7 linked regions of the Oryctolagus cuniculus genome follow. The protein of the gene in region 5 interacts with the protein of the main gene of each other region in a pairwise test. Links are inferred from orthologs where the notes say so. Each region holds a gene or a part of one and is shown on either strand. Other genes may lie near its edges. The genes, in order: METTL17, NFU1, CCDC121, KAT5, TFIP11, KANSL1 and CCHCR1.

Region 1 (4,084 bases), on a different chromosome or scaffold from region 5:
TTTTTAGTGTTACATGCTAACACCTCCAAACACTTAGCATAAAGTTAACTAACTTGTGCCCCAACCACCAACAATATGGGGTATAGCATATTGTGTAAAAATGAAATCAGTGTTAAACTAGCTGTCACCTAACAAGATTTGTGATCTCAGGGGCCGGCACTATGGCACAGCGGGTTAAAGCCCTGGCCTGAAGCACCGGCATCCCATATGGGCCCCAGTTCTAGTACTGGTTGCTCCCCTTCCCATCCAGCTCTCTGCTATGCCCTGGGAAAGCCGTACAAGATGGCCCAAGTCCTTGGGCTCCTGAACGAACCCCTGTGGGAGACTCAGAAGAAGCTCCTGGATCCTGGCTTCAGATCGGGGCAGCTCTGACCGTTGCAGTCGTCTGGGGAATGAACCAGCGGATGGAAGACCTCCCTCTCAGCCTCTACCTCTCTCTGTAACTCTTTCAAATAAATAAAATAAATCTTTAAAAAAAATTGTGATCTTGCACATATTTAACCATTAGAAGTCTCACTTTCCTCAAGTGCAAAATGGGGCTGACAGCAGGATATGCCTTGGTAGGAACTAGATTACATAGAAGGATTTTCTTCCTTAATTTTGAAAATTTATTTTTAAACACAGAGAGAGAATCTCCTGTTGATTCACTCCTCAAATCCCAGCAACAGCAGGGGTGAAGCCAAGCCTAAGTCAGGGACTGGTCATTTAACCCGGGTCCCCTACGTGACAGGGACCCGAGGACTTGGGCCATCACCTGCTGCCTAGCAGGGTGTGCACCAGCAAGAAACTGGAATGCGGAACCCAGGAACTCTGATATGGGATGCTGACTTCCCAACAGACCCCAAGGAGAAGTTCCTAGCACATTACCTAGCATGTGGGCGTTCTCAGCAAGCGTTAGCGTTAGCTTATTGCTAACTGACGAGAAACTGACAACTAATTAAACTGTTAACTAAATTATTAATTTACTACCTTTAGTAGTTTAAATCTGGTTTCCTCACCTTTTCATTACTGCATTCTCCGGTTCACAGAGGAAAACAACTCCAGATTCAGTTCTACAGGGAGAAAAGCAACCAGATTTTGACAGCCGAAAGCCCGCCTCCGTCCCTCATGCCCCGCCCCCTCAATTTCGGGCTCTGCAGCACCCCCTTTCCGCCGATCAGGTCGGACCTGACTTCCAAGTCCCGCCCACGAACGGCTTCCGCCGCGAGTAGATTTACATATCGACTGCTTATTGGCTACTAATGAGCACTCCTTCTTCTCATTGGTTGATGCTGTCTCGAGCGAAATCCCGGAGGAAGTTCCGCGCGTCGTTGGGAGCTGAGGGTCACTTTCGTTTCTGTTTCCGGTTCGCCTGCGAAGGCATGGCGGCTGCGTCGGGAAAGAGGTTGCCCTCGATATTGGGCAGATGGCGCCGCGGGCTTCGAATGGCCCCCCAGTCCCGGGTGAGTACCTACTTTCTCTGCTCCCGAAGAAGCTCTGGGACCCTAGAGACAGCTGCGCTCCAAGAAGGAGCTGTTTGGCAGCCGCTTCCTTTAATTGAGAGCCCTCAGTCTTCCTTTGTGGCTGGCACCCAGCTTTCCTTTCTCGGCTTCCAGGCGCTGGCGGCCCTTGTTCGCGGCGTGAGTCAGGTAGATAACAAGTCCGATTTTCTGGGGAAGAAGCCTCACCGTCGGCACCCTGGCATCCTACGTCTGCCGTGCGTGCAACTGCCACAGGCACTGGCTGACGCCGCCCAGCTACTGCTACTCCGTAAGTAACGGCGGGAAAGGGGTATCCGAGGAGAAAAAGAAATGGGCCTTTGCACACAGGTAATTCTGCTTTTCATCTCTGGCCTCCAGAGAACGCAGTGCCCAATGTGGAGAAGCATGTGCAAGCACTGACCAATTATCTCTGGAGCCGACACTTGCCCGTAGAACCTGAGGAGCTACAAAGACGGGCTGTGAGTCTGGAGAAAAAGTTCCTGGAAAACGCAGGTAGGATTGAAGACTGATGAAAGATTAGGCCGGATTGAAACTGGGGAATGAAGTGCAAGAGATAATTTTACAGTCTCTCAAATAGATATTGGAGTTTCTTATTTGACTTTCCACCTTACTGGAAGATAGATTTGTTCCAGAGACTACCCTTGGGACGTGAGGAAGGGACAGAGTATGGCAATTGAAATCTGGATCCCAGTTGGGACCATCTACTTTTTTTTTTTTTTTTTTTTGACAGGCAGAGTGGATAGTGAGAAAGAGAGAGAGAAAGGTCTTCCTTTTGCCGTTGGTTCACCCTCCAACGGCCACTGTGGCCGGCGCACGGCGCTGATCCGAAGGCAGGAGCCAGGTGCTTCTCCTGGTCTCCCATGGGGTGCAGGGCCCAAGGACTTGGGCCATCCTCCACTGCACTCCTTGGCCACAGCAGAGAGCTGGCCTGGAAGAGGGGCAACCGGGACTAGAACCCGGTGTGCCGGCACCGCTAGGTGGAGGATTAGCCTATTGAGCCGCAGCGCTGGCCCATTCTTATTAAGGTGAAAGTCCCTGTAAAGTTAACTGCCTAATGCTGAAAACCTCTGGGATTGGAGAATACATGTAATATATTCACGGTTGTGAGCTCCTTCGTCTTACAGACCTTTTATTTATCTTGTGTCCCCTACACCCCCCACAATCTGGCTCTGAATGGGCATTTAGTACATACTTGCCAAACACAATAGAGTCCCTTTTCCACCTATAGGAACATTCAAGATGTCACAGTCTTAAGTTTTGGGGAAGTGAGGAAATCCACAAAATAATTGTCCTTCTCTTATCCTTTAAATCTAAATTGTATTTTCCTTTATTATAGAAAAAAATTTGTTGGGTAGGGTCAGTTAAGTTGAATATACTGCTGTTGGAGGCAAATACTATCTCATACACTCTAGGGGTGCTGGTGGTGATTATCCTTAGCTGAAATTTTTCTCTAGGTTTGGCTGCTTTCTTGAGCTTTGAGGCTTTTCCAGTGGGAGAGGGGAGAACCGGGAGGGCAGTGAATTAAATATTGGATCTGGTCTCTGTTCTCCTTAGGTCCTCACTTCCAGTCCTTGTTCTCACCGCAGACTCATCCCAGACAGAAGAAAAGCTTCGTGGAGCAGTGCTACATGCCCTGCGCAAAACCACCTACCATTGGCAAGAACTGAGGTGAGGGGGACTAGAAAACATGCAGAAGGAAGAAAAGTTGGACTTGAAAAGGAGAATGGAGCCGCACAATTGCATGATCAATGCAGTGTTTGAAAAAGTGCCTGAGTGATAGTGATCCCCAGGACCACTCTGCCCTGGGGAGTGAAAAGCTAAAGTGGAAGAGCCCTTTCCAAGATCTTATTTCCTCGCAATGGTCAGCAGGTGTGACTCTGATTTTTGTGCAGCTACAATGAAGGACTGAGCCTGGTGTATATGGCAGCGAGACTGGATGGTGGCTTCGCGGCAGTCTCCAGGGCATTCCATGAGGTGAAAAATCTGTGTCTAACTTGAACGCTCTTACCTGCTGTTCCCTTATTGATTCATAATGTAGTCTGTACGGTAGGGATTCTTAGGGTGCTGCGTAGGCTTTTATGCTTTGCTTTTTTTTTTTCTTTCTTTCTTAAAGTTCTCTTGTCCTGTAAAAGGATTCTGTGACCCAAGAAAGGTTCAGAACCACTATTTTAGGAGCTTGTTGTTAAGTGTTTATGTTGAATCTCAGAATGTGTTCACATCTTTCTTCCTCTGTCATAGTCCCCTAATTCATATTTACTAAGGCACTAAATAAGTATCTGCTTACCATACTGTGGGGTGTTGTGTGTTTCTCCAGATCCGAACTCGAATTCCAGAGTTTCAGCCACAAACCTTAATGGACTTTGGCTCGGGTACTGGCTCTGTCACCTGGTGAGTAACTTGCTTCATCCCTTTCTCAAGTCTAGTTCTAGAAGGCCACACTTAACACCAATCCAGTATCAAGAACTTGAAAAACCACAGGAAAAATAGGAAAGTTGAGAACCTAGAATGTTTCTTCTCTCCGATTAGGCGAGGCAGAAGAAGGTATATGGGTTAGGGCCAGGATTTAAAAGAAGTATCATAGTGAAAAAAGACCCATATCTGAA
Region 2 (4,127 bases), on a different chromosome or scaffold from region 5:
CTGTTTGCTAGTCTCTCTCTCCAGTAATTTCCCACTTCTTCCCGGTCTTTCCCTCCTAGGTTTCCTATCCGTCCTAGGTTTCCTATCCGAGTCACGGCACCATTATGTCGCTCCCCCTCTTCGTGGAGGAACGACACTAAACCCTGCCTAGGCTTCATATCCGAGTCACGGCACCATTATGTCGCTCCCCCTCTTCGCGGAGGAGCAACACTGAACCCTGCGCTGTTCTTTCGTCTGCTCGGCCCTCCCCGGGTTTGCTGCTGGTTCTTCCCGGGTTGGCTACTATCCCTTCCACCTCCGTGGAAGGGCAGTTCCCCCTGGCCACATTCCCCACTTCCGCAGGGGAGCGGCACACCGCCGGCCGGCTTTCTTGGGGGGCTGCACAGGTGTTCCTTCAGCTAGATGTTCCCCTTAGATGTTCCTGGTGCATGCCGTCTCTCTCCTCCTTTATAGTCCTCCTCCGCCAATCCTAACTCGGCTGCCCACACGCCGAGTACGCTGCTCTCCAATCAGGAGCAAGTCCTACAGTTTATTGGTTGAACTGGAGGCAGCTGTGTGGAAGCTGTTTACTTCTCTCCCAGCGCCATATTGTGGGAGAGCAGATGCATAGAATAAGTCTTAATTCCAGTAACTCAGTCTAGTCCGGGCTGCTCCCCACACTGGTTCAATACTCAAAATGCCTGCACTACTGGCCTGGAAGGGGCTGGCTGAAGAAAAAATGTGGAATTCAATCCAAGACCCAAGTGAGTGTCAGGAACCCAATTTCTTTTATTAATTAATTTATCTATTTATTTATTTTTTGTTTATTTGATAGGTAGAGTTATAGACAGTGAGAGGGAGAGACAGAGAGAAAGGTCCTCCTTCCGTTGGTTCAACCCCAAATGCCTGCTACAGCCAGAGCTACACCGATCTGAAGCCAGGAGCTTCCTCCTGGCCTCCCATGCGGGTGCAGGGGCCCAAGCACTTGGGCCATCCTCCACTGCCTTCCAGGGCCACAGCAGAGAGCTGGACTGGAAGAGGAGCAACCAGGACTAGAACCCTGCGCCCATATGGGATGCCAGCGCCACAGGCGGAGGATTAACCAAGTGAGCCACGGCGCCAGCCCCAAGGAACCCAATTTCTTGAGCCATCACTGCTGCCTCCAGGCGTTTGCATTAGTAGGAAGTCAAGAGTTGCTGGTGGGCATCAAACCCAAGTCACTGATATGGGATGCAGGCATCCCAACCACTAGGTCAAACACCTATAATAACCTCAAAACACACACACTTCTCTATTATAGGCAGGAAGTGATGATCAGGCTACATCACTTTTTTTTTTTTTTCCACAAAAACAGAATACTGTTTGTCACAAAGGAAGAATAAGTACCACTTAAGTGGAATGCAGATTACCTAAAAATTTTACCTACTTTTAGTAATCTTTAAATGAGATTTATAAGCAAAAGGCACTGTGGTACCATAACCATAGAAAGTTTCCTAGATGTTGCTGGAGAGACTAAAGGACTGGCACTGAGGAGTCACAACAGAGAAAGCATCAGTGACATCATGGAAACAACACTGGAGGGGAATTACGGACTCTGCGAGGCCTCCCTCCCTCCCTCTAGAGAGCTGGCCACAGCTAGGTAGGACACGACTTTAAATCACACGACTCTACGACAGCACTCTTTGTTTTCTCATTTGTCGTTTTGTTTTGTTTTGGTTTTTTACTAGATTGCAAGCTCATTAAGGAAGAGAATATCTTCCTGTGTTCGCAGGTACTAGCACTCCGCCTCAGTTCCTCACAGCTGCCTCTTAAAGGCTGGGATGACAGCTCCTGTGATCCGTGTGCCAGCGCCAGGTCTTGCAGTCACAGTCAGCAACGGTAGCTGCTACCGTTATCACTCTGTGCAACCGCTGGTTGAAACGCCCTGAATGCACTCGCGAAGTCTCTCTGGGCATACTCTGGAACTTGGAAACACACGGGAAGACCAGTATTCCTGCCCCTTCACCCACGGAGAAGGCAGCAGAGTGCCTACATAAGCACATTCTGACAGAGAGAAGTTGGAAGTTTTTTAGAAAACCGAGTAAAATTAGTCAAGGAAGACACCTACTGACGCATCTGAAGGGCAGACAGGGTAACCCACAGAATTCCCGCAGCTAAGAAACGCATTGAAACGTCAAGAGCAGCGTTAGCACCGGTCAAGAGGCCAAACTCCCTGTTTTTCTCTTGAAGTAAAAATCACGACCGGACACCCACACATGTCCTCTAACTGATGCTGACCGGCGTCTTCAGGAAGCAAAACTCCTAAAGGGACCAGAGAAAGGGGAACACAAAGGAACGGCGTGGGCTTAGGGGAGAGGGGACTCGGAGCTGCAACCCTTGCAAACTAAGCTGCGTGGCTCTGGACAGTCACGCCTCTCTCTGGGCCTCACCGGGAAAGTGAGGAATGAGACCAGGTGTGTTCTTTTTGATGCGACATTCTGATTTCGTGTCCACACCCGGGCTCCGCGGGCTCCCGAGCGCAGGCAGTCGGCCACAGGTCTGAGCCCGAGGCGAAGCGCGGCGCCGTCCCACCGACAGCCGTGCCCCTCACGACCAAACCCCCACTTGCGGCGACGGGGGGAGGCGCCATCAGATGCACCCCGTCCCCGCTCCCCCACCTTGAGAGACGACCGGCGAGGCGGCGACCGCTCGGCGGGATAGGTCCGGAGGCACGCCTCCTCCGAGTTCCCGGCCCATCACCTACCGACTGCGAAGCCCCGCGGCAGCAGCCGCAGCTCCCCAACCCCGCCTGGCCGCCGCCGCCATCTTAGTCCAGGAGTGCGCAGGCGTGGACAGGCCTCACCCCTTCGCAACGGGGCAGAAGCCGTGCGCAGGCGCGGGCCAGCCGAGAGCTGGGCGAGCACTGGGACGAGCGCACCCTACAGGCCTTCGGTGGCGCTGCTGCGAGTGAGCAAGGCTGGCGTGGACCGGGAGGTTTGCAACCAAAGCCAGCCTCCAGCGTGAGCCTGAACAAGGGTGGGGAGCTCTTTGCTCGGCTTGCGCAGGCGCCTTCCGTGAACCTGTACGCTCTCCGCACGTGTGTGCAGATGCTTACTTTACTTTCTTCTACCTGGGTTCTTCGCTGGGCTTGTCCTGCTGACGGAGCGCCGTTTTCCACCTCCAAACTGCCCCATACCCTCTTGAGCAGCCTGCTCGCTCTCCGCATCCGGCTCAGTGATTGCTCCCCAAGACTCCCGTAGCATCTCTGAAGAGTTCTTGCCTTGCCCCTGCCTTCCTCCCCTGGGGCGGACGCAGGCCTGGGCGTTAATCCTGTAGGCTGCGCTTGCCCCTCCTGGACTAACCCGCACAGAGGACACACCTACCGCACTGCTGCCCTTCTCTGGTAAGCGTGAATATTTACTACTTTCCAAAGTAGAGTACAAAAGCCCGTGAACCACTCTTCTAGAACCTTCCTGGGATACTCAGTTATTTTCTAGGACAGTGGTTCCTAGACTGGGGACTGGGACGCGCTGTAAATGCTCATTTTCAGGAATCACCTTAGACCTCCTGACTCAGAATCTTTCTGTATAGGGGGGCCCGCGATCTGTTTTAATAAGCCCTCCTGGTGACCGATGCAGACGAAACGGTGAGAACCGCTGCTCTGAAAGAAGGAACAGGTGGATGCCACACCCCGGACAACGCCAGCGCTTCTAGGGTCCAGAGACGCATGGGAGAGGCTGAGGCTCTGAGGCCTGCGGCTGGCCTGGGCCTGGACCCCGAGTGTGCTGTGTCCTCCCAGTGCTGCGGGCATGACTGCCTCGCATCGCCGTCTTCCCGCTTAGTCCTCTACTCAGCACAAGCCTTCCCCTCTGCTCTGGACCCTGAATCAAGTGTAAAACCGGGCTCTTCCAGTCAGGATTCCGCCCTGGTTAGAGAACAGTCTTTCCTGCCTTCAGCTTCCCTTCTTGAGATTTCTTCTCGAGGAAAATCCTGCCTCGCCCCCCATCCCCTCCATCCCCTTTTTCTTCATTCAGAGCCAACAGGCACGGAGAGTCGTGTGCGGTGTTGGGCTCTAGTTTATCACCTCCTTCCCCTCTAACCACCGAAGTCAGGCTTCTGTGTCCTGACGGTCCCAGTGTCAGAGGAGAAAAATCACAGCCATTGAGCTT
Region 3 (4,156 bases), on a different chromosome or scaffold from region 5:
TATGTGGTCTTTTATTGTATTTGGGGTATAAAAAGCTTGGGGGTGGGGGACACAGGCACTGTGGGGCAGCAGGTAAGGGACTGTGCTACATATGGAAGTACCCCCCATATGGAAGGGCCTGGGATCAAGTCCCACCTCTACCTCCAATCCAGTTTCCTGCTAATGAGCAACCTAAAAGGTAGCAGATGATGGCTCAAGCACTTAGGTCCCCGCCACCACATGGGAGGCCAGCATGGAGTTCCTGGCTCCTAGCTTTAGCCTGGGCGTTAGATAAAGGCCAGTGTTTAAAAAGGAGAATGTTTTATAAAGAAGCCTGTTTAGGGACTGAAGAACATCCAAGAGAGATAAAAGTACGAAGTTCAGAAAATAAAAAAAGTCCCTGAAGACTGGCAGGCTGGAGGCGTTCCCCTCTCTGCGTTAGGGCACAGTGTACTCACCAATGTTGGCAGGAAAGGGGACTTCGTGCACAGCCGGGTCCAGATTGATCACATAGGGCGGGGAACCTTGGCTGTGCAAGTGCCCAGTGAGCCGCTGCAGACAGGAAGATGGGAGGGGGAGGGAGAGGAGGAGGGGGTGATCAGGAAGGGCATTTCCACTCCTTCACCCACCGCCCTCCAGCCACCCGAAATATCCACCCTGCTTCCAACATCAAATCTCGGCTCAAACGCTACTTTTCCTTATCACTCACCTGACAGAGCCTCCCCTACTCTTGCCCACTTATTAACTTGTATTGCAAACCCATATGGCGAGTATCTTTCTATCTCCTCCATGAAAGTAAAAACCTTGTCAACCGCATTTTCTCCGTATCCCCCATGCCTGGAACATGAGAGGGGCCCCAGAAATAACTTTTTTCGCAAATCTTCACCGAAACCCAATGGGTTAACACCGAATCTATCTACTCCATGCCTTGTGAGTCTGCCTTCGAGAGGCTGGCAACTTCCCCAGCAAACAGTTCCAACACAACGTGGTAAGTCGAACCAAGTGTGCACAGAAGAGGGCTTCAATGAACACAGGCGCGGGTCCGCTATGCCTCAGCCCACGAAGCAGCCGGAGTTCGGTGAAGTCCCTGAAAACCACGCGCCGGTGTCCTCCAACTCCCCACGGACTTCCGTCGCTTTCTCCCTGGCCTTCTGCCCGCCACCACCTCTCGCGCTGCCCTACCCCGCCCGCGCAGTGTGCGTCACCTGGACAAAGGTGGTTTTCCCGGATCCCGCCATCCCCAACACCAAGAGGCACACGGGGGGCCGAGGACCCCCGGACGCCTGGGGCTCCGCCGCAGCCGCGAGCGCCGCCATCTTTGCTCAGGCCCCGCCCCTCACCACAGAGGCGCGGCGTGGCTAGAGAGGCCTCCGCGACGTTCTAGATTGGGCGGAGAATAGAGTCGAACGCCGCCGAGAGGCGCCGGCCAGCGGGTGCCGAGTTTCTGCTGCGGGCGGGCTAGTGACGCCGGGAGAGAAGTGAGGGGAGCAGAGAAGCGAGAGGAGAGGGCTAGCGGAGCCGAAAAAGGAGCACTGCCCGTCGCTGGCTCCTCGGAGCGGGAGACGAGATGGGCTCCCAAGGGCCGAACCCCCACCACACGAAAAAGAGGGGCGTACGTCTCATTTTGGGGTCCCAAAGAGCTAGGACCGAAGACGCTGGTCTGCCGCCTGCTAGAGCTTGTTTGGCACCCGAGGAGATTAAACAGCTCAGGGCTGGGCTGACCGGGGCGGGGGCTAAATGGGACGCTTGGGGGTGCTGGGCAGCGCGGAGACCCGTCGAGCCGCAGACTGAGCAGCTGCAAGACCTTTCCGCCTTCACGACCCCCGACGTCAGCGCGCGCTCCTCGGCGACCACCCTCCGAGAACTGCGCAGCTACCGCTGTCAACAGCTGGATTCCAGGAGCAAGTGAGTGCGGCCACGGAAAGAGGATGAAGGAGCCCGAGAAGTATCCCCGCTCCCCATCACCGTCCCGCGTCCGACGATCTGGGTTTCATACCCAGGCGCTGCCACTGGTCAGCCGTCTGGTTTCTTGTTCTTTAAAACGGACACTACGCCGCGGGGTTGCAGGGAATGCCTATTGCAAATTGTCGGCGGTACCCCCAGCATCTTCAACCCTGGTTGTATTTCCCGTGGCTTGCAGAGTGTTTGGAACGTAGTAGGTCTCCAAAATACTTGTTGAGCTGCCACTTGGGACACCAGCATTCCGTATCTGAATGCCTGGGATCAAGTTCCAACTCCACGTCCAGTCTAGCTTCCTGCAATGCGCCTGGGAGGCAGCAGTTGGTGGCCCAGATACTTGGGTCCCTGCCACCCACGTGGGAGATGCGGATGGAGCCCCAGCTGTGGCAGGTATTTGGGAAGTGAACCAGCAGATGGGAAATCTGCCTTTCAAATAAGTAAATAGTCGCTGTATTAATTAAGGACAATTGTGCATCTTTTATGATTGCTTAAATTTGCATTAAGAACTGACAGAGGCACGTCTCATGGGCTCTCCCTTCAGGTTTGCCGAAGGTCCCAGGAGTTCCCCTCCGTCGTACCTCAGTCTAATAAATAATCTGCTCCAGCCCCAGAAGCTAACAAGTGCGGAGATGCGCATCAGAAGAAGAATGGCGAAGGTGCGAGAGCTGGACACGCAGATTAAAGCAGCCCGAGCCCAGCAGCAGCTGTTACTGGAGGACACCAGGCAGCTGCACGAGGAGGAGCTACACTTCCAGGCGGAAAACAGGTTCTTTCTGGAGTACCTGACCAAGAAAACGGAAGAGCTGGCGAAGGAGCCCGTGAAGCTGTGGACGGAGTACATACAGGAAAGTCGAGAGATTAAAAGGGGGAGACAGAAGTTAGCCGCCAGATATGCCAAGAAGTCTGCAGTGCTTAAAGCAGAGCTCATGCAGAAGAAAAAGATACAAGCCGATTTGAAGCAGCAGCTGCAGGATCTGAGAGACATTTCGCTGTTAAAGGAGAAACAGGACATACAAATCCAGAAATTACAGGAGGAGAAAAACAAGATCGAAGCGCAGATCGCCGCCGAGAAACACGCCCAGTTCCTCAAGGAAAAGGCCCTGCTGGAGGAGCAGCTGAATGAGCCAGACGTGAGGCACTTGGGAAAGCAAGAAAGGAGGGCGCTCAGGGAGAAGACGCAGGCCCTGAGGTCGGCAGCAAAGCAGGCTGAGGTGAAGTTCTGCCACGGCATCCAGGCAGAGAACCAGCGGCTACGCAAGGAATGCTGGCAGCTAATGCGGCAATCCCAGAAATTAGAGGCTACTCAAAGCCAGTTAAGGAGCCAGAAGCAGCAGCTGGAGCAGGAACAGTGGCTTGTGCAGAGCATGCTCCGTGGGAGGCAACGGCTGCAAGAAAGACGCCATGGGTGCCCTAAAGGACAGGGTGTCCCCCAGGCACCACCGAGGCCTCCCCTGGGCGCCGCATCAACGATAAACCCCCCGTAGTTCCTCAAATACGTACCCAGCAAACCTGTTAGGAAAGGCTTTTGAATTCCAGATTGTAGTAAAATACCATACGTGTTGGTACAAAAGACTAGGTGCAGTCATGTAAGGTGACCGGCTTCCTTTAAGCAGTATTTTAAAAAACTACCTTATGTTGATAAACACAATTTTCAGACTTCCAGTTAACCTAATACCTGATAGCCCAACCTGTTTCACCATCTCCGAAACACCCCATACATCCAGCAAGTTCAGAAACACCCACTTGGGGTGTGTGATTTCATCTAGCCAAGTTAAGATTTCTTTATAGAGAAAATACCTTTAAGGACAGCATTTCACTGAATAGAGCTTTCTGCTGTATAAATAACACGGATCAGTTTACTTGTATTCCTTTTGGCCAAATCAGCAGACAAGGATGAAGTGTTTCTAAGTTCTTTTTTAAGTGTAGGCCAGTGGGTGGGTAGCTTCTTTTACAGATTCCTCGCCAGTTGAAAAAGTACTCTGATAACAGCAAGCCCACTAAGTGCTAGGTTGAATGACCTTTGAAATCTGATGATGAACCCCTACAAAAATTTCAGCTTTGAATACATTAAGGGGGTAAGAGGATTTGAATGGTGACATTTATTAAGTTGCCTCTTTTTTGTGAAATGTTCTTTGAAGAAACACTTTTAGCATTAAAGAAGTGATTGAATGCCTGTTTCAGGAAAACCTATCAAAAAAGTTTTAAAATATTTGGACTT
Region 4 (3,306 bases), on a different chromosome or scaffold from region 5:
GAGGTGGCGGTGCCGGCCGGCTTCGCGGGCTACGTCCTGGCGGCCGAGAAGGCAGACGGGCGGCCGGGGTCCGGGGACGCGGAGCGGGCGCCGCTGGAGCGGGACTTGGTGAGCCACGGCGGGCCCGGGGCGGGCGCGGCGGCGGGGCCGGGCTGAGCCGCCTCCCTCCCTCCCTCCCCAGGACCGCTTTCTGGGCGCCACCGCCAGCTTCGGCCGCTTCACGCTGTGGGGCCTGGAGACCGTGCCGGGCCCGGACGCCAAAGTGCGCGGGGCCCTGACTTGGCCGAGCCTCGCGGCCGCGGTGAGTGCACGGGCGGGGTCGCTGCGGCGCGGGGCCCCCCACGCCGGACGGGGTCAGTGGGGGCGGCCGGGCCCCCGCACGGTTACAGGCGGCTCCTCTTGCAGATTCACGCTCAGGTGGCGGAGGACTGAGAGCCGGAGCCCGTCCCCACCTGCCGACCAGTACGCCCCGCACCGCAGCTGTGCAGAACCCTGGAGGCTCCGCCTACGGAAACGATTTATTGCCTGGTGCGGGGGCCGCAGCCAGGGCCACCCCACCCCCACCTTCTACTTTACAAAAGCCATTTTTACAGTGAAAGTGTCCTGTACAGTTGCCCCCAGCCCCTGCGCACTGCACAAGCCGCCCGGCTCCTCCTGGTCCCTGGTCAGGGCAGGCCGGGCCCGCAGCCAGCTCAGCCTGGGCGCTGACCCGAGCCCTCGGCGGGCCTGGGCACTGACCCGTGGCCCCTGCGGGCCCAGCCCCGTCTGGCGCTGCCCTGCGCGCCTCGCGCGCTGTGCCTGCTGGGGGCGCCGGGTCCCGTGCTCGCCGGCCCCGCGCCCGGAGGCCCGGTCACCACTTCCCCCGCTTGCTCCAGTCCTTGGGGGTGAAGTGCAGACACTTGGAGTCGATGCGCAGCAGCCGCTTCAGCATTGCCCGCTCGTGTCCGTCCACGATGTCCTCGGACAGCGTGAGGATGTACTGGCCCTGGGCGAGAGAGGGCCCGGCAGGGGTCAGCGCCCGGCCCGCACCGGCTTCCCGACTGCCCGGCCCTGGCCGCCCGCCCCACCTTGTAGTAGTTGATGAGGTTGAGGTACTGCAGCGTGGAGATGACGTCCTCCTTCTTGATGCTGGTGATCTCGCTGATCTCACTGCGGGAGGGCAAAGGTCAGGTCTCCCGCGGCCCGGGGCGGGGACAGCCACGCACCCCCGGGGGCGGCCGGCTCACTTGATGGTGATCTGCGGCCGCTCCCCACTCTCGGACTTGAGCCCCATCAGGATCTCCAGGATGGTCTGGGACCAGTAACTGCGATAGGACAGCAGGCCCAGGTCCGACAGGGGCTTCTCTGGGGTCCCCGTTCTCCCTTCCACCTTGGAGAGCTCATAGCCTGGAGCAGGGGAGCAGGAGAGGTGGGTAAGCGGTCAGACAGTGGCATCGCAGCGGGCACATCCTGCAGCAGGGGGCCGGGCCGGACGCCCACTGCTCCACCCGCTAACCTGCAGCCTGGCAGTGCAGGCGGACCAGGGACCTGGGGCCCTGCCGCCCAGTGGGGCCCTGCGGAGCTCCAGGCTGCTGGCTTCAGCCTGGCCCGGCCCTGCCTGCTGTGGGCAACTGGGGAGTGAACCCCTGACCAGACCTGTCTCTGCCTTTCAAATAAAATGAAAAGCATTTAAGAATTAGAGCCACGTGGCTTCTCTGCCCACCACCTGAAGGCGCTCGCCCTTGGCCTGGGTGCTGGGGGGGGCACCTGCAGTCAGCCGAGGCTGGGGGGGTGCCCATGTCCTTGGCCGTTGCTGTGTGGGTGCAGAGGGAGGCAGGGCAGACCCCGCCCTCTGTCCGTCACATTCTGGCTGGGACCTCGGGCTCGCCAGCTGCTCTGGGATGGAGCGGGCTGCGTGGTGGTGAGGAAGGAGCTTCACCAAGCGCTTCCCAGCTGGAGAGAGGCCTCCCTGCCCCTGCCCTCCTCCAGCTGACCACGAGAAGTTAGCTCCTCGCAAGCCCCTTTGGCCCCACCAGACCCCGAGGGGCAAGGCCCTGGGCCGGTCGCGCTTGTCTGCTCTCCTGCCCCTGCTGCACACTGGCCAGTCCCAGCGTCCACCCTGACCTGCTGTGCCTGCAAGGACCACGGAGGGGGTGGGCACCCTTGGGTTCCTGCTCAGCTGTGCGGGTTCATGCCACAGCCGTGGGCAGCAGCAGGTCAGCCAGATCTGGGAGAGTGGGCTGAGGTTTGGGGCCCTGGCCAAGATGGGGTGGGAGCAGTCACCCTGGAGTGTGAGACCTCGGCGAACCCCAGCTTGGTTCCTGGCCGACCCCCTTGGCTGAGCTGCACAGTGGGGGACAGCCGTGGGCGTGTGGCCTGAGGCACCAGCGGCAGTGCACGGGCCCTGGGCGGGGCGGCCACATACTCACTGAACTCAATCAGCAGCTTGCCGTAGCCCCGGCGCTGGTACGGGGGCAGGGTGAGGATGCAGGCCACGTTGTAGTCTTCCGTGGACTCCTTTTCCTGCAGGAGGGGTGGGCGAGCGTGAGGGCAGGGTCTGCGCCCACCCCAGGGCCCCCCGGGGACAGCGGGCAGGCGCTGACCTTGGAGAAGTAGCCCACGATGTGGAAGCCCTTGCAGTCGTACTCCGTCATGACGTAGAAGAGGAAGGGGTCTGTGTCGTAGTACAGCGTCTTGTGGTCCAGGAAGCACTTGGCCAGCAGACACAGGTTCTGGGAGTAACTCTGCGGGGGGAGAGGGAGAGCCCGTTCCCACTGGTGGTGCCACCCGAGAGGGCCCCTGGGCCAGGCCAGCGGGTGGGGTCGTCCCTGCCTGGGGCCCGCGCGCTGTGACAGCGTCCAGCTACCTCCCTGGGGACGGAGGGTCTGCCCCGCTGCCCGCCCCTTCTCCGTCTCAGCAGGGCCCGGGGCGGCTCCCTGGCCCTGCTGTGCTGGACACCAGCGTACAGTTTGGAACGCAGGAAGTGTCTCCGGCCAGGACACGAGGGAGCCCCTGTGTGGCAGTGCTGGGAGTCGCTGTCAGCAGACCCAGCTCTCCACTCACCCCACGGCTGCACCTGCCGCTCCCCGAGGGAGGGCGGGGCTCTGCCTCTTCACCGAGGACCAGCAGGGCCCCCACCCTCAGGGGACTGCCTCTGCACACAACTCCTGGAGAAACCTCACCCCTGGCTCCTCACCTGCGCACTGCCACGCGGGTGCCCAGTCCACACTTCACGCGGAGGGGTGCGTAGGCAGCTGCCGCCTCTCAAACTCCCTGCACGCAGGCCAGGGCCGCCCCCCCTCGCGCTCCAGTCTCAAGTTAGCCTTA
Region 5 (3,500 bases):
CAGGCCGCGTTGCAGTGGGGTGGGCTGCAAACCTGTGCTACAGGCTGTGTTGCAGTGGGGCGTCTCAGGGCTGACTCAGCAAACCACTTCAGGCAGAATCCAAGGTTCTAGGCGGATTTTTCAATGCTGGCAACCCATTCACTTTTCAGAAACACGAGTCAGGCCAACACAGAAGGCTGTCTGCACCCTGCACCCCTTCTCCTCCTGCTAGGACGCATGCTGTGTCTAGGGCGAGTTTTGATAAGGAGAGGGCGCTGAGAGCAGCACGCCCTGTGCTGGCGGAGCCGAGGAGAGCCGAGACACAGCAGTGCCCGCCACAGGGCGCGGCCTCGGCGGGCGGGCTGGGGCGGCGCGGTACCTTGTGCGTTCTTCCCGAGGCCCCTGCCGGGCACGTAGCCCATCTTCTGAAGAAGCTTCTGCCCAATCCCTTTCGTGTGCCTTTCCCAGCTGCCGAAGTCCATGAACGACTTGGTTCCTCCTGCAAAGCCTTTCTGGCTGGGCTTAAAATTGCCCCCCTGCAGAGAACAAAGGCCAGAGCTTGACTGCAGGGAAAGGAAGGAGAAAGCGGCAAAGTCCGAGGAAGCCTGGCCCTGGGAAAGCAGCCCGGCAGTTACAGGGCACCGGGGCAGGTGTCTGCGCTGCGCCAGGATGCAGAGACGCGGCGCGCCCACGCCTCACGCACCTGCGGCCACAGAAACCCACGTGACCAGGTCCCCCTGCCAGGAGAGGCCACCGCGGCCCAGCCCCGCGACAGAGACTCTACCGTCTTTAGCTTCTTGGGGCCCAGATCCTTCGGAAGCTCCTCCTGCTTTCCAGGCTTCTCTTCGTCCTCAGAGTCGTCCAGCTCCGCCTCCTCCGCTGCCCCCTTCTTGAGCCCAGCGCTGATGAAGTTGACCGGCGCAGAGTAGTCCCGGGGGCTGTGGGCAGACACCGAGACCAGGGGTGAAGGCTCCTCCACAGCCGCCCTGCCCAGACCCCGGCCTGCGCCAGGAGGTGGCCCCCACGGAACACATCTGAGGAGCAAACGTCTGCCTCAGAAAGTTCATGGCAAGAGGGAATTCAGGGAAAAGTTTATTTTCACACACACACACACACACACACACAAACCCTGAAATGTATGCATAATTTTTATAATATTCATTTTCCATGAATATTTTCAATCTCCTCATGTATCAGAATATCAACACTGCTTGAAAGGATTTATTTATCTGTTTAAAGGCAGAGTTACAGAGAAAGAGACACAGAGGAGAGATCTTCTATCTGCTGGTTCCCTTCCTAGATGGCCCCAACAGCCAAGCCGAAGCCAGGAGTTTCACCTGTATCTCCCACATGGGTGGCCGGGACCCAAGTACTTAGGCCATCTGCTGCTGCTTTCCCAAGCGCATTAGCAGGGAGCTGGATTAGAAGTGCAGCAGCCAGGAGTTGAACTGGCACCCAAATGGGATGCTGGTGTCGCAGGCAGCGGCTTAACCCACTGTACCATAAATGCCGGCCCTAACACTTAACATTTTTTAAACTGACATGTTCAATTCAGATCTATCACTAAAGGGTACACAATGCCAATACAGAGCTATTATAAATTCCCAATATGCAGGGTGGGTGTCTGGTCAGTGGTTAAGATGGCTGCATCCCACACCGGAGAGCTGGGTTTGCTGATCACTCCCAGCTCCAGATTCCACCTTCCTGCTAGTGCAGCTCCTAGAAGGCAACAGTGACCAGAGTTCCTATCCTTTCACCCCACGGGAGACCGGAGTGAGGTCCTCACAGCTGGCCTGTGCCTGGCCCAACTCCTGGTCATTACAGGCACTGGGGAGTGAAGTAGAGGAAGGCAGCTCTCTCTGTGCATCTCTGCCTTGCAAAGAAAAAAAAATTAAAGAAAATTAAGGGTTGTTCTATAAGTAAAAAACTAATCCTATTTTCATTTTACATTAAAAAATTAATTTAGCTCAAAAAGCATTTGTTCCAAATACAATTTTAAGGACAAAATCAAAAGAGTAGAAATTTTGATAAAGTCATAATAAGTGAAATCCAAGGTTATCTGAATGTAAAGTATATTAACAACTATGTTAATCAAGCTCAGAAGCAGTTCATATCCACTATGTGTATATGAGAATGAAAACTAAGAAAGCATAGGAGAGAGCTGTGAGTGAGCTGTGCTCCGTGAGCCCTGAGCTAGAACACCCGGGACAGCTGTGAATGAGCTGTGCTCTGTGAGCCCTGACCTAGAAACCCGGGACAGCTGTGAATGAGCTGTGCTCTGTGAGCCCTGAGCTAGAACCCGGGACAGCTGTGAATGAGCTGTGCTCTGTGAGCCCTGAGCTAGAACACCCAGGACAGCTGTGAATGAGCTGTGCTCCGTGAGCCCTGAGCTACAACACCCGGGACAGCTGTGAATGAGCTGTGCTCCGTGAGCCCTGACCTAGAACACCCGGGACAGCTGTGAATGAGCTGTGCTCCGTGAGCCCCGAGCTACAACACCCGGGACAGCTGTGAATGAGCTGTGCTCCGTGAGCCCCGAGCTACAACACCCGGGACAGCTGTGAATGAGCTGTGCTCCATGAGCCCCGAGCTAGACACCCGGGACAGCTGTGAATGAGCTGTGCTCCGTGAGCCCCGAGCTACAACACCCAGGACAGCTGTGAATGAGCTGTGCTCCGTGAGCCCTGAGCTAGAACACCCGGGACAGCTGTGAATGAGCTGTGCTCCGTGAGCCCCGAGCTACAACACCCAGGACAGCTGTGAATGAGCTGTGCTCCGTGAGCCCTGAGCTAGAACACCCGGGACAGCTGTGAATGAGCTGTGCTCCGTGAGCCCTGAGCTAGAACACCCGGGACAGCTGTGAATGAGCTGTGCTCCGTGAGCCCTGAGCTAGAACACCCGGGACAGCTGTGAATGAGCTGTGCTCCGTGAGCCCTGAGCTAGAACACCCGGGACAGCTGTGAATGAGCTGTGCTCCGTGAGCCCTGAGCTAGAACACCCGGGACAGCTGTGAATGAGCTGTGCTCCGTGAGCCCTGAGCTAGAACACCCGGGACAGCTGTGAATGAGCTGTGCTCCGTGAGCCCTGAGCTAGAACCCGGGACAGCTGTGAATGAGCTGTGCTCTGTGAGCCCTGAGCTAGAACACCTGGGACAGCTGTGAATGAGCTGTGCTCCGTGAGCCCCGACTACTTCCGACCAGCACTCACAGCCGGCCGCTAACCTCTGGTCCCTTCCTCCGTTAGCCTGAAGCTCATTTATTTCCATTGTTTACTTAAAGGAATAGAGTGGGGAGAAAAATCCAAGGAAAACCCCAGGCAATACTACAAAATGGGGTGAGCCCTACAAAACGACCAGCCGCGTCACTCAACATCCCCGGGGCAGTGTGCACCGAGGGACCTTTTCCCTAAAAGACGCAGTATCTGAGTGCCCAGGAGCCCGACCTCCAGTCAGAGAGGTCCAGCTTGCAAAGCTAGCACAGCTTCTGCCTCGGCACGAGACCCCTGGCTTCAGTTCCTTGACC
Region 6 (3,500 bases), on a different chromosome or scaffold from region 5:
GCGCCGGCCGAAGCGCGCCGGCCGTGGCGGCCATTGGAGGGTGAACCAACGGCAAAAGGAAGACCTTTCTCTCTGTCTCTCTCTCTCACTGTCCACTCTGCCTATCCAAAAAAAAAAAAAAAAATTCTGATTTTTGCTTAAAAACTCAGTTTCTATTACGGCAACAAAACCATCAACCTTGAAGTGACAGGTAAACTTGTTCATTTTTCAGAAAATGTGTAGCTATCCAAGTTTGAACAATCTTATTTTTTCTGTCAGTCGTTCTGCCTGCTTATAAAAGCAGTATTCCATGAAAAAATTGTAGTTCAGTTGTGCAGGGCTTTTTCTTGAGACCTCATGATGCAGCAAAGTGCTTTGTGTGTGTTTTCTCTTTGCTTCCACAGAATATTTTTTTTTATTTTTAATTTATTTGAAAGAGTTAAACAGAGAGGTAGAGCCAGAGACAGAAGCAGTCTTCCATCTGCTGGTTCACTCCCCAAATGACCGCAACAGCCACAGCTGAGCTGATCCGAATCCAGGAGCTTCTTCCAGGTCTCCCACATAGGTTCAGGGGCCCAAACACTTGGGCCATCTTCTGCTTTCCTAGGCCATAACAGAGAGCTAGATTGGAAGAGAAGTAGTCGGGACTCAAACCAACACCCATATAGGATGCCAGCGCTGCAGGCCAAGCTTTATCCCGCTGCACCACAGTGTTGGCCCCCCACAGGATATTAAAAACAAAAGCCATGCACTTAAAAGTCAAAATTTAATAAAATTCATAGCTTTTATTCATTTATTGAAGCTAAGTGGAACTGAATTAATGGAAATTGTGAGTGAGTGGAGAATATAATTACTACAGTTTGATGCCTCTACCTTGATTTGTACTAAGTTTCCAGCATTTTTGCTCACTTTTGTTTGTGAACACTCATTGCAAATGTAAACACAGTACGGCCATGGTGGCCATTTGGGGGGTGAACCAATGGAAGGAAGACCTTTCTCTCTGTCTCTCTCACTGTCTATTACTCTACCTGTCAAATTAAAAAAAAATGTAAACACAATAAATAAGGCAGCTAATGTTAGTTTTACTATGAAAATATATCTGATTTCATGGACCTTCAAAATGGTCTTTGAGTTCCCAGAAGTCCAGAGACCATACTTAAAAGAATAGCTTTATGTAGATCTCCCTTTGTTCCTAGACCAAACTGTTCAAGGGAGGTGAAAAAGAGGCAAGTGATTGAAATTTTTGGCGTGGTTACTAAATAAAAGCAATGCTGTTACCCAAGGTAATGAAACAGGTTGAGAGGAGTGTGTTAGAAGAACAGCATGAGCTCTGAGTTTCAGGGGGCTTTGAAGATTAGAGTTGCGAATGTTGGATAGAGCAACTCAGAAAATGATTTTCTGAGAGTTAGTGGACCTCGCCATAATAATGGTTATTGCCAAGTAAGTGAGTTGAGAGAAAAGAGAAGGCTGAAGAAAGGACCTTAAGGAGCACTAAACTTTAAGGGGGCTGGAAGATGAGAATGGATGATGGCATTGTCAAGGGCACAGGGAAAGAGAATTTCAAGGTGATCAGCACTGCCTGAGGCTTCAGAGAAGTCAAATGGGAACTGAGATCATTTGGATTTGATAATGAAGCTGCTGGTGATCTTTGCCAGAAGAGTAGGGATGGAACCATGATGATCGAAGGATGAAGAGTGCACAGGCAGCTATTCATATTGTTGTTTCAAGAGGTTTTGGGGTTGGGGCTGGCACCATGGTACAGTAGGTTAATCCTCTGCCTGCAATGTCGGCATCCCATATGGGCGCTGGTTCTAGTCGCAGCTGCTCCTCTTCCAATCCAGCTCTCTGCCGTGGCCTGGGAAAGCAGTAGAAGATGGCCCAAGTCCTTGGGCCCCTGCACCCGCATGGGAGACCAGGAAGAAGCACCTGGCTCCTGGCTTCGGATCAGCGCAGTTCCGGCCGTTGCGGCCATTTGGAGAGTGAACCAACAGAAGGAAGACCTCTGTCTTTCTCTCCCTCTCTCTGCCTGTAACTCTGTCAAATAAAATAAATAAAATCTTTAAAAAATAAAAGAAAAAAATGAGGTTTGGGGGCAAAGGGAAAGAGACTTGTTGGCAATTAATTTGAAAGATGGACTGTACTGAGAGGACAGAGGAGACCTCAGCAAATTCATAGGCAGAGAGGAAGGAGCCAGTAAATTAAGACATTGGTGAGCATTGTGATCTGTAAGAAAATAAAATTGATGAAGCCAATTGGCATTACAGGTGAGGTAAAATTAGCCTGTGGCACAAGCTTTACTTAGAAAGAAGTGAGAAGCTAATGAAAACTGGATCTTGTGGCCAGAAAAATGCAGACATAAGACATTTGTCATATAGCTTTTTCTTACTAATTTTTAATTTAATTATTGGATGTTTGGTTCGGTAGATTGGCTTTAAATGTATCGGTCGGTGTCAAGAAGTTCAAAGAAATTTTTCTCTTAAATGCATATGAGTTGACTTGATTAACTCTTTAAGAATGGAAAATTTGGGCAGCTTTCAGGTTATGGTCACAAGTGACTAAAGGAAGGGTAGAATATTCTTTCTCTTTGCTGGAATTGTACCCTCCTCCCTCCCCTGGATAAAAGATCTGGGTCTCCAGAATGACTCCAACATGTTTTCTGTGTAGCAGCATAGTTGGTACAATAGCCTCAAGTAGAGCTTGTATTAGAAACATGTGTTGTTTTTGAATGTGCTTGTATTTCTAACTTCCTTTTCTTTTTCTTCTAGTCTGTTCTCAGGGGAGGCAGAAAGGGGCCGAGGAGCTGGCCTCGGCACCGGGAGAGGCTGGACTTCCTGTCTCTGTGTGCTGAATGGCTGCGATGGCGCCCGCTCTCACTGACGCAGCAGCCGAAGCACACCACATCCGGTTCAAGCTGGCTCCCCCATCCTCCACCTTGTCCCCTGGCAGTGCCGAAAATAACGGCAACGCCAACATCCTCATTGCTGCCAACGGAACCAAAAGAAAAGCCATTGCTGCAGAGGATCCCAGTCTAGACTTCCGAAATAATCCTACCAAGGAAGACTTGGGAAAGCTGCAACCACTGGTGGCATCTTATCTCTGCTCCGATGTAACACCCGTTCCCTCAAAGGAGTCTTTGAAATTGCAAGGGGTCTTCAGCAAGCAGACAGTCCTTAAATCTCATCCTCTCTTATCACAATCCTATGAACTCCGGGCTGAGCTGTTGGGGAGACAGCCAGTTTTGGAGTTTTCCTTAGAAAATCTTAGAACCATGAATACAAGTGGTCAGACATCTCTGCCACAAGCACCTGTAAATGGTTTGGCTAAGAAATTGACTAAAAGTTCAGCACATTCTGATCATGACAATTCCACTTCCCTCAATGGGGGAAAACGAGCTCTCACTTCATCTGTTCTTCAGGGGGGTGAAGTGGAGGGATCTGAATCTGGGGACTTGAAGGGGGGTATGACCAATTGCACTCTTCCACACAGAAGCCTTGATACAGAACACACCACAATATATAGCA
Region 7 (2,872 bases), on a different chromosome or scaffold from region 5:
TAATCCATGTAATGCTACATGCCTGCTGCTAGATCTCGCATCTGCAATGCCGTGCCCGGTCCCTTCTTTTTTTTATTCTTAAAGAGTTATTTACCCATTTGAAGGTCAAAGCTACACAGAGAGAGGAGAGGCAGAGAGAGAGAGAGAGGGAGGAAGGGAGAGAGAGAGGTCTTCCATCCTCTGGTTCATTCCCCCAATTGGCTGTAACAGTCGGAGCTGTGCCGATCTGAAGCCAGGAGTCAAGAGCTTCTTCTGGGTTTCCCACGTGGGTGTAGGGGCCCAAGGACTTGGGCCATCTTCTACTGCTTTCCCAGGCCACAGCAGAGAGCTGGATTGGAAGTGGAGCAGCTGGACTTGAACCGGCGCCCATATGGGATGCTGGCACTGCAGGCAGTGGCCTCACTTGCTGTGCCACAGCGCCAGCCCCGGCCCGGTACCTTCTAAGGCAGTTGCAGCCCGTGTCCCTCATGCCGACTTGGTAGTCATGGCCTTGCTGAGGCTGTCATAGAGCCTTGGGAAAGAGCTGCTTCGTGCTAGTAGCGGCCTCCCCAGGCACCGGGGTCCTTGGGATGGGCGGTAGGCGGTCCGTGTGGAGCCCTTGGTGCGGTGCTGGTGTGTAGTTTGTGCTCTGACTGTCCACGGTCCTCACAGGGCTGTCCTGGATGCATCAGGGGAGTTCTGGGGGTCAGCAGGATGGGCCTTTGCAGCCACGGCCTTCTCTTGGATTCACTCCTTGGGAACCCATTGGCTTGAACAAACTGGGAGCCATTTGCAACCTGCTCCGCACCGGCCTGGGTATGCGAGCCAGCACCCAGATTCCGCCCGTTGCAGCTGCGCCTGCCTCCAGGAGAGCAGAAAGACAGGCCGGGGGCAGGGTTTCCTGTGGTGCCCAGGGGTCAGGCAGGGTTCTCGCTGAGTTCTTGCCAGAAAGCACCAACTTTGGGATGTTACCAGGTTGGCGACACAGTCCCTAGGTGACTCAATGGCTGTGTCAGAAGATGGATCTTAAAGTTTTTCTTAAATTTATTTTTTATTTGAAAACCAGAGAAACTGAAAGAGAGAGAGAAAGATAGCTCTTCTGTCTACCAGTTCACTTTCCAAATGCCCACAGCAGCTGGGGCTTAGCCTGGCCTAAGCCAGGAACCCAGAACTTGATGTGGGACTCCCACGTGGGTGGCAGGGACCCAAGTACCAGAGTTGTCACCTGCTGCGGCCTCCCATGGGGTGCACTGGCAGGAAGCAGAAGTTGGAAGTGAAGCTGGGACCTGAACTCATGTGCGATGCAGACGTCCCGAGAGGCGGCCGTGTTGTTGACCTCTGCTCCTCACACCCACCCCTGGAAGTGGCTTTAGAGCCACGGCCTGTGCTGGGCGCTCCCACCGAAAGGGTTCCTCGCTGTACTTGCTGTGGTCACCGCTTGTTTTTCCGTCTCCGAGGAAGCTCCAGGCCTGCCCCCGTTTTCCCCTTGGGCCTCCTCCCAGGGCTCCCAGCTGAAGCCCCTCAGTTTTCATGGGCCGTGCTGGTTCTGCTTCTGGGCCAGCAGCTGATGCCACTCACAGACCTGCCCTTCACGTGTCAGGGAAACCACACTCCTGGGCTTGTTCGAGAGCTGCGCAGCAGTGATCCAAGACCAGGTGGTGAGAAATCAGCTTTAGGGCCGGCGCTGTGGCGTAGCGGGTAAAGCCACGGCCCAGGAAAGCAGTAGACGATGGCCCAAGTGCTTAGGCCCCTTCACCCATGTGGGAACCCTAGAAGAGGCTCCTGGCTTCGGATCAGCCCTGTGGATGGAACCAGTGGATGGAAGAGTTCTCCCTGTATGTCTCTCCCTCTATTTCTGTAACTCTGCCTTTCAAATAAATAAGTAAATCTTAAAAAAAGAAAAAGAAAAGAAGCCCCGAGTTTGCCTGAAAAGATAAGGCAGTCGTCTGAGGCCTTCTTGAGGGGCAGGGGCTCCTTAGACATGGAAGCTTCGGGCCGTGTTCTTCCACCACAGACGTGGCGCGGCGTCCAGCGCCAGGAATCCCAGGCCCTGGAGACGGCCTCGTGGCCTGCAGGGGAGCGAGTGGCCATCAGGCAGAGACCAGGCCCTGCGGCGTTGTTGTCACTGAGCCCTTTACAGCCTGGGGCGCCCGGGGCCAGATGGGGCTCCTTGCACCTTGCTGTGTTGATTGCAGGGCTTTTATTGGGGACACTGGTTCTCAGGATCCAAATGAGAAGTTTACTCTGCATGGGTTGTGGGACCAGGAATAGCTGTGCTTTTTAAAATATTTTTATAAGCAACCAGATCGTATTTCTGTGACAGTCGCTAAAAGGCTAAAGCTCCTCCCAGGTTTTGTTTTAGCAGCTGCAGCATAGGGCATGAGGTTGGGGCACACGTGCCCCAGGTCCTACCCCTAGCCTCTCTTGTTTCCCTTCCCTGCTTCCCCCCACCCCCACCTGTGCGACAGTGCAGGATGGGGGGAGGGGTCTGTGCAGGCCCCAGGCCCTGTGGGGGTGAGGTGCGGGTCAGCGGTCAGCGGCCTGTGCTCCTCCAGCTCCCAGGTCTGCCTCCAGAGCACCATGGCTAAGGTGGAGCAGGCGGTGGCCCGGCTGCCCAGCCTCAGTAACCGACTCAGCTATGCCGTCCGCAAGGTCCACACTGTCCGCAGTGAGTTGGGGGTGGTGGTGGGCTCTGAGCTGCATCCTGGCCCAGCCCTCTGATCCCTCGGCCACTTCCTCCTCCTGCTCACCAGCCCACACGTTTCTGCTTCCCGGACTCCCCTTGCAAACTCAACCTGTCGCTTTCCATCTTTTCTCTCCAGGTCTCATGGCTCGAAAACTGGCCCTTGCACAGCTGCACCTGGAGAGGTAAAGTGTGGGCAGTGTGTGTGTG

Evidence for each region.
Region 1: the proteins of TFIP11 (region 5) and METTL17 interact in binary tests that used the Homo sapiens proteins (3 or more experiments, as listed by UniProt). The link is inferred for Oryctolagus cuniculus from reciprocal best matches to the Homo sapiens genes TFIP11 and METTL17.
Region 2: the proteins of TFIP11 (region 5) and NFU1 interact in binary tests that used the Homo sapiens proteins (3 or more experiments, as listed by UniProt). The two-hybrid records come from large-scale screens. The link is inferred for Oryctolagus cuniculus from reciprocal best matches to the Homo sapiens genes TFIP11 and NFU1.
Region 3: the proteins of TFIP11 (region 5) and CCDC121 interact in binary tests that used the Homo sapiens proteins (3 or more experiments, as listed by UniProt). The two-hybrid records come from large-scale screens. The link is inferred for Oryctolagus cuniculus from reciprocal best matches to the Homo sapiens genes TFIP11 and CCDC121.
Region 4: the proteins of TFIP11 (region 5) and KAT5 interact in binary tests that used the Homo sapiens proteins (3 or more experiments, as listed by UniProt). The link is inferred for Oryctolagus cuniculus from reciprocal best matches to the Homo sapiens genes TFIP11 and KAT5.
Region 6: the proteins of TFIP11 (region 5) and KANSL1 interact in binary tests that used the Homo sapiens proteins (3 or more experiments, as listed by UniProt). The two-hybrid records come from large-scale screens. The link is inferred for Oryctolagus cuniculus from reciprocal best matches to the Homo sapiens genes TFIP11 and KANSL1.
Region 7: the proteins of TFIP11 (region 5) and CCHCR1 interact in binary tests that used the Homo sapiens proteins (3 or more experiments, as listed by UniProt). The link is inferred for Oryctolagus cuniculus from reciprocal best matches to the Homo sapiens genes TFIP11 and CCHCR1.

The regions. Positions count from the first base shown.
Region 1 is NC_091443.1:53,913,165-53,917,248, reverse strand, and holds the start of METTL17 (ribosome assembly protein METTL17, mitochondrial), read left to right. Parts: upstream 1-1,284; 5' UTR 1,285-1,361; coding exon 1,362-1,442; intron 1,443-1,595; coding exon 1,596-1,749; intron 1,750-1,838; coding exon 1,839-1,973; intron 1,974-3,067; coding exon 3,068-3,149; intron 3,150-3,373; coding exon 3,374-3,455; intron 3,456-3,795; coding exon 3,796-3,869; intron 3,870-4,084. UniProt on the Homo sapiens protein: Mitochondrial ribosome (mitoribosome) assembly factor. Binds at the interface of the head and body domains of the mitochondrial small ribosomal subunit (mt-SSU), occluding the mRNA channel and preventing compaction of the head domain towards the body.
Region 2 is NC_091433.1:133,215,517-133,219,643, reverse strand, and holds the start of NFU1 (NFU1 iron-sulfur cluster scaffold homolog, mitochondrial), read right to left. Parts: upstream 2,801-4,127; 5' UTR 2,785-2,800; coding exon of another isoform or gene 2,723-2,784; 5' UTR 2,609-2,722; coding exon 2,409-2,608; intron 1-2,408. UniProt on the Homo sapiens protein: Iron-sulfur cluster scaffold protein which can assemble [4Fe-4S] clusters and deliver them to target proteins.
Region 3 is NC_091433.1:175,379,016-175,383,171, forward strand, and holds the start of CCDC121 (coiled-coil domain-containing protein 121), read left to right. Parts: upstream 1-1,356; 5' UTR 1,357-1,546; coding exon 1,547-1,884; intron 1,885-2,479; coding exon 2,480-3,422; 3' UTR 3,423-4,156. Other genes in the region: GPN1 (GPN-loop GTPase 1), read right to left, coding at 438-531, 1,185-1,295.
Region 4 is NC_091432.1:6,000,398-6,003,703, forward strand, and holds the end of KAT5 (histone acetyltransferase KAT5), read right to left. Parts: intron 2,724-3,306; coding exon 2,583-2,723; intron 2,503-2,582; coding exon 2,409-2,502; intron 1,681-2,408; exon of another isoform or gene 1,387-1,680; coding exon 1,227-1,386; exon of another isoform or gene 1,150-1,226; coding exon 693-1,149; 3' UTR 501-692; downstream 1-500. Other genes in the region: RNASEH2C (ribonuclease H2 subunit C), read left to right, coding at 1-108, 182-301, 406-432. UniProt on the Homo sapiens protein: Catalytic subunit of the NuA4 histone acetyltransferase complex, a multiprotein complex involved in transcriptional activation of select genes principally by acetylation of nucleosomal histones H2A and H4.
Region 5 is NC_091452.1:20,276,962-20,280,461, forward strand, and holds part of TFIP11 (tuftelin-interacting protein 11), read right to left. Parts: intron 918-3,500; coding exon 764-917; intron 516-763; coding exon 359-515; intron 1-358. UniProt on the Homo sapiens protein: Involved in pre-mRNA splicing, specifically in spliceosome disassembly during late-stage splicing events. Intron turnover seems to proceed through reactions in two lariat-intron associated complexes termed Intron Large (IL) and Intron Small (IS).
Region 6 is NC_091448.1:17,098,815-17,102,314, forward strand, and holds part of KANSL1 (KAT8 regulatory NSL complex subunit 1), read left to right. Parts: intron 1-2,744; 5' UTR 2,745-2,827; coding exon 2,828-3,500. UniProt on the Homo sapiens protein: Non-catalytic component of the NSL histone acetyltransferase complex, a multiprotein complex that mediates histone H4 acetylation at 'Lys-5'- and 'Lys-8' (H4K5ac and H4K8ac) at transcription start sites and promotes transcription initiation.
Region 7 is NC_091436.1:139,347,023-139,349,894, forward strand, and holds part of CCHCR1 (coiled-coil alpha-helical rod protein 1), read left to right. Parts: intron 1-2,534; coding exon 2,535-2,647; intron 2,648-2,801; coding exon 2,802-2,847; intron 2,848-2,872. UniProt on the Homo sapiens protein: May be a regulator of keratinocyte proliferation or differentiation.